2 linked regions of the Saccharomyces cerevisiae S288C genome follow. The protein of the gene in region 1 interacts with the protein of each later gene in a biochemical or structural test. Each region holds a gene or a part of one and is shown on either strand. Other genes may lie near its edges.

What was found. Proteins that work in one complex are often made in the same cells at the same time.
Region 2: the proteins of BEM1 (region 1) and CDC42 form a complex in vitro, tested with the Saccharomyces cerevisiae proteins (3 studies listed by BioGRID).

Annotation. Positions count from the first base shown.
Region 1 is NC_001134.8:618,971-622,732, reverse strand, and holds BEM1 (phosphatidylinositol-3-phosphate-binding protein BEM1), read right to left. Parts: upstream 1,862-3,762; coding exon 206-1,861; downstream 1-205. Other genes in the region: KTR4 (putative mannosyltransferase), read right to left, coding at 2,430-3,762.
Region 2 is NC_001144.5:603,629-606,605, reverse strand, and holds CDC42 (Rho family GTPase CDC42), read left to right. Parts: upstream 1-1,818; coding exon 1,819-2,394; downstream 2,395-2,977. Other genes in the region: BNA5 (kynureninase), read left to right, coding at 1-848. UniProt on the Saccharomyces cerevisiae protein: Involved in development of cell polarity during the cell division cycle, and essential for bud emergence. Affects signaling in the pheromone-response pathway through the STE20 protein kinase.

The DNA.
Region 1 (3,762 bases):
TTTAAGCAACTTTCTATATACATATATGTCCTTATTTATTTTTATTACAAATCACGCTGTTTCGGAAGAATTGGATACCTTAATATTATTACTGTTCGGGAGAATCTTATTACTCTCGCAAATCATCATAAAGTTGATTAAAATGTTCAACCTATGTGCATCTGCCAAGTAAAGAAGAAAAATGCTTCGTCTTCTAACACTAGATTCAAATATCGTGAACGGAAATTTTCAGTTTGGCTTGGATTATGTTACTGACTTGTGAATCAGTCTTAATTTCCTCCCCGCTACCATCAAATAATTTGGTTTGTAATTTAAAATTATCTGTATCAATCCTTGGAGCGATTTTACTACGAAGTTCTTTATAGGTTGTGTCACCCTTCAGCATTAAAGCAAAAATATCGTCTTTGTAATAAAATTTAATTTTAGTAGTTTTCAATCCAGAAGTTGATTGGGCTGGAGCCTGCTTGGAGCCCGATAAAGATAAATCTGAGAGTTTCTTGTTTAACTTCAAGTCTTCGCCAGTTAAAGTGTTGTCTTGGTTAGTTGAGGCAAAATTAGAAGTTTGAGATGCTGTTGCAAAGGTTGCTGTATCGTTTTCTTGTAATGTTTTAATATTGTTTTGATTTTCGTCTCTTTCAAATTCTCTGTCGAAACCATTATTCAAAACAACGAATAAGGAATGCACCATTTCTGAGCGAGATATATAATCGGGAAGATTCACTAGGTCTGCCACATATATATTCAAGTCCTCCTTTCTTTTTTTTGTTATGCTATTGGTAACGTATGGAACGGGTCCAGGGATATAGGGCATTATACGTTTGGACCATTGTCCACCTGCATCCCTCAACTTACCGGCCTCTGCTGGGAACGCATCCAAAAGTTGAACCTGCAGATCGTAGAAATCTTGATAGTATCTTTTCAGTTGCCTCGTCTTACCGTTAGATAATTCACAGCAAACCAAAAACCAATACTTCTCATCTTCTAACCCAAAGGATTCAACGGATGCTTTCACTAATAATTCACCGTCAACCAGCTTTGCGCTTTTGTTCTGAGGTTTTGTAATGGATTGCTGCTGCTGCTGCTCCACAGAACCAAGGCTAATATTACTAGCTTTGTATCTTGCAATGTTGCTTTTCCATTCTTGAACAGTTGGTAGGTTAACTGACTTGATGTCTTCTATTACGTCGTTACCTGTTGCGTACCCCGTGGCAATATCTATGATGCTAACAAACCCAACAGGAACAAGGCCGGGCCCTCCAAGTCGACCAATTGGCTTAGCAATGAACCATTCACAGTTATGGTGGGCGCAAATAAACAAATTCTCTCCCACATAAGTTGTCAACTCATCAGCTTTTTCTGCCTTAAAGTCATATAAAACAATGGCGTATAACGATCCCATGTTTAATGAATCATTTGTAACCTTCCGACTTGAACTATTGGATCCATTCACAGAGGAAGGTTTAGTTCTATCAAACACTTCAAAATAGGTTTTGGGGACAACACCCTCTTTTCCAGTAGAAGGATTTGAAGCTTTATACCAATCCTTCTCATCTCCAGATACATAAAAAAATTCACCTTCCATGAAAGATAGTTCCTTTGAAGTTTGTGCCTGATAACTGTATTTGGCTTTTATAACTTTCTCTGGAGAAGTAATATCTTTAGAATTATGTCTGTTTTTTGGTGAAGAGTCCCGTTGGCTTTTCACTGGGGTGGAAGATGAAGAAAGGTACCTCACTGGTACTGTCTTAATATGCTTTATAACACTCCCATTATCATGAGAAGGTGTGGAAATATCTGCGGATGTAATTCTGCCCTTCGACCCATTACTATCTCTTTTTGAGAGTTTGAAGTTTTTCAGCATTTATATGGCTTTCTTGACAATTTCTTTTCACACAGTGCTTTCAACGTGCATCCATATGGGTTTAGTATATTAGTGAAAACATATGCTGATTAAGATGGTACATCAAATTATGGCTGTATTGTCACTTTCTTTTTTTCCTGTTCGTAAATGAATGGGGCCCTTCGCCATTTGTCCGTTTAGGGTAATATTAGTTAAGAAGCCGTTAAGGCCCGGGAAGAATGTCGAATAACAATAGATAAGAGATATTGTAAAGTTTTTGGATTTCGGTTTACCATATTGTATTGAAATGATTGAAAATATAACGACATTATAATTCCATATTATCAAGTGACATTTTTGAGGAGTAGCTTTCTCAAACCAATAATACCTTCAACAATACTATCTACTGGCTGAGAAACATTTCATTTTCCATGAATGTTCACCTGTAACATTTTTAGGTTGCTACATTATAAACTTTTCTTAATTCCATAATATATATCTATCTATGTGCGTCCTAAATTAAATCATAAAACCCCAGATGTGATGCCGTTCTCGAAAGCAGCGGCACAAATTCTCAAAGCTAATGTCTTCAATACATTTCTAACTCTTCCTCAGACATAGAGTGTCTTATCCAGGTTGCCTGGCAATTTTGGTTGTCTAGATCACTCCAAGGAGTGAATTTGCCTGGTACACAATTTCCATTACACCTATCTGAATCTGCTGGACAAGTTGGACAGTTCGTGTACGGAGTATGGTGATAACCTATATCCCTGAACCAATGGATGCTTGACTTATCCGCAAATAAAGCAAGTGCCAAACTTCTTACAGGGGCATCACCCCACCTTTCATAGTAGAATCCTCCCTTTTCTTCAAGATATTGCATATATTTTTCATAAGGTTCTGACCTCAAAAAGTCTAAATCGACTATTTCAAAATTGGTCCAGAAATGACAAGTTGAATACCCTTGAGTATAATCATAATTTTTTGGATTTTGAGAGTTATCTTTTAGCCATGCGAAGGCTCCGTTGACGTTCAAATAGTTTGGGTGTTCCTCGACAAAATCCATAGTTGAAGTCCATAGCGTTTCGATGGTTTGCGGACTATCATAGAGGTTCAAAACAAACCCATAAATCTTGTCATTCTTGTTCATAAATTGGAAAACGTCATAGTTAATTTTGCAATAGAAATTCACGTTTGGCTCTAATCTCCACACATATTTATATTTAGATAGCAGAGGATGATGGTAAAATTCTTTAGAATAGAAACGACACATGTTATGATAGGATTCCACCTCTGCATACTGAATGTTCTCTTTACTCATTTTGTCCATTTCTTGGTCGTATCTCTCCCTATCTATGCTATCAGGCATATTCCAGTTATCTGGACCAATAGTGCCAAATTCTACTACACGGTCCTTAGGAAGAATACTTTTTATTCCATCTTTGAATTCGTCAGTAAATTCCTCATCGTTAAGGAAGGTATAGGGATATCCAAAATTCTTATTGTACTCCTCTTCTAGCTGTTGAATAGAAGAAATTATATCCTCTAAATCAGAATTTCTCACCAAACTCAAAATAGTTCCTTTTGCCTTGCCGGCTAACGGATCCCCGCTACGTACCAAATTGTCCACCTTTGGCTCAGAAATTTCTTGAAGTAAAAACTCCTCGTACAACTGTTTATTTTCAGCAAGGACTTCATTCGGGTCAAAAGTGTCCTTTTCATAAAGGGGCTCGTGTAGCCTGTCCATTATGCTATCTAACACCTCAGCATCATGATCAGGAAGTTCATCAGCGCTTTCAGTTTTACCTGTAATACTTTTGTAGCTCTCCCGGAGAGAAGCATACTGGGACTTGGCACTATCCTTGACTGCTTGCAAATAGTTCTCATTCGCCGTTAAAAAGTAAAGAACAACGGTTACGGCA
Region 2 (2,977 bases), on another chromosome or scaffold:
CTTATATCAGAACTCAAGATATCCTGGATACCATAGAGGTAAATCAAGATGAATTGGCGCTGGTCTGTTTGTCAGGTGTTCAGTATTACACGGGGCAATATTTCGATATTGGCCGAATCACCTCATTTGCCCACCAATTCCCCGACATATTGGTTGGATGGGATTTAGCACACGCTGTAGGGAACGTCCCATTGCAACTTCATGATTGGGGTGTTGACTTTGCCTGTTGGTGTTCTTACAAGTACTTGAATGCCGGGCCTGGTGGAATTGGTGGCTTATTTGTCCACTCGAAGCATACTAAACCAGACCCTGCTAAGGAAAGTTTGCCAAGATTAGCTGGTTGGTGGGGCAATGATCCTGCTAAGCGATTTCAAATGCTGGAAGTATTCGAGCCGATTCCAGGAGCATTGGGATTCAGGCAATCTAATCCAAGCGTTATTGACACAGTGGCATTGAGAAGTTCATTGGAATTATTTGCGAAGTTTAATGGTATTAATGAAGTTCGTAAAAGATCGTTGTTGCTGACGAACTATATGACGGAACTGTTGGAAGCCTCCAAGTATTACAAACACCCTTTAAGGATCGAGAAATTACCATGTTTTTTTACAATATTAACTCCAACAAGCACAGATGAAGAACATGGCGCCCAATTGTCACTTTACTTCGATTCTGACACTGGAAAAGAGGATATTATGCCCAAAGTTTTCCAATATTTGCATGACCATGGTGTCATTGGCGATGCAAGAAGACCAAACGTAATTAGATTGGCTCCTGCTCCCTTATATAATACATTTTCAGATGTATACATTGCGGTGAATGCACTAAATGAGGCGATGGATAAGTTGTAGTCCTAGAGTGACCGCATCGCCTTCATCTTCTTTTGGATATTATATATGACGTAGTTTGAAATTCGTATACTTACTGATAGCGAACCTATAAATTTATACTTTCTTTCCAAGAATTAAAATAAATATCTGGGCCCGTGTATTACTTACCAGTTGCCGTGCATAGTCGTGAATCTTCTTTCATTTATCAACCTTCTTCCAATAATGAAGCTAACTTATCAGTGGTAGTACTGTTGAACGAAACAAGCCGGAACTCAAAAGGGTAATTTCGTGAAAAACAATCATCTACGGTATAAATAACAATTTAATTTACGTCTCTTTCGAAAATGCTCGTGTAGCTCAGTGGTTAGAGCTTCGTGCTTATAGCAACATTCGGTTTCCGAAGTTTCTGTGCCAAAGACCTTTCAAACAGGCCTTTAAAAGCAACGCGACCGTCGTGGGTTCAATCCCCACCTCGAGCACTTTCTCTTTTTTTTTTAAAAAAAGTTGCATTATTTCTATCAACTGTTGTAGCTACGTTACACCTAATTTTGTATTGTAGACTGTTAGATAATCCACATATACAGGTAAATACGGCACATTGTCTTCTAAACATCGCATTAAAGATGTCTTCCACCGTCGATTCAAGGGTCATTCAATACGGGTAATACTGCTTCCATTGGGCCCTTCCAAATGAAACAAGATACGGGAAAAAGTGATAAAAAAAAGCAAACAAGGTTGATTGATCGATGATAGACGCGATTCTTGGAAAAGGCAAGAGCAGCGTTTTGATAAATAGGTTCCAGGTGTACCGAGATATACTGATTATCCTTCTCTGTCATTCTTCACTTTTTGCAATAGGTTTCCTTTGTCGCAAAAAATTATATTCGTTATTTATTATACTATTCTATTTTCCTGAGGAGATAGGTTAACAAACGAATTAGAGAAGCAAAACTTATAAAACAAGAAATAAACGTATTAGCTCTTCCACAAAATGCAAACGCTAAAGTGTGTTGTTGTCGGTGATGGTGCTGTTGGGAAAACGTGCCTTCTAATCTCCTATACAACGAATCAATTTCCAGCCGACTATGTTCCAACAGTGTTCGATAACTATGCGGTGACTGTGATGATTGGTGATGAACCATATACGTTAGGTTTGTTTGATACGGCCGGTCAAGAAGATTACGATCGATTGAGACCCTTGTCATATCCTTCTACTGATGTATTTTTGGTTTGTTTCAGTGTTATTTCCCCACCCTCTTTTGAAAACGTTAAAGAAAAATGGTTCCCTGAAGTACATCACCATTGTCCAGGTGTACCATGCCTGGTCGTCGGTACGCAGATTGATCTAAGGGATGACAAGGTAATCATCGAGAAGTTGCAAAGACAAAGATTACGTCCGATTACATCAGAACAAGGTTCCAGGTTAGCAAGAGAACTGAAAGCAGTAAAATATGTCGAGTGTTCGGCACTAACACAACGCGGTTTGAAGAATGTATTCGATGAAGCTATCGTGGCCGCCTTGGAGCCTCCTGTTATCAAGAAAAGTAAAAAATGTGCAATTTTGTAGTCATATTAGTATATGCCCATCTTTTCTTAATCTATATCTAAAATTAACTTATATATACACCTTCCTATCCTTTTATTATCGTTGTATTTCATTTTTTCGCTTTGCTCAGAGTTGATTCTCTTTGTTTCTTGCGCCAGGATCATCCGTCTGTTCAAGGCGGAGTAGTGCAAAAAAGTCGAGCCGTCAAGCCCCAAACGTTCAATACTTCCATGTTCTTCAACGCTAAACGCGACATTTGCGAGTCCTACCACGTCTTCTCCGTTTACGGGCAAAAACACCTCTTAACATCAAAAATTTGGCTTTCGTGCTTTTTTCTGAAATATATTCGTTGCATAGACACGGTATGCATATGAAACATTCAGGCTAGCAATCAATACTTAAACCCTTTACGGGCGTGCATGATGTATCAGGAAACCAGTTTGAGAATGTCGCCCACCAAGCTCCATGGAAAGGCGCAAACCAATTACGCGGAACACAAAAATGGGCCTTTTTTTGATCGCCTCAAAGGCCGGACCAGGTTCGTTAAACGTCTGTAGAGGTGCCGAACAATTTTTGTCTAGAATAAATTTCCATTTTTCTGGCA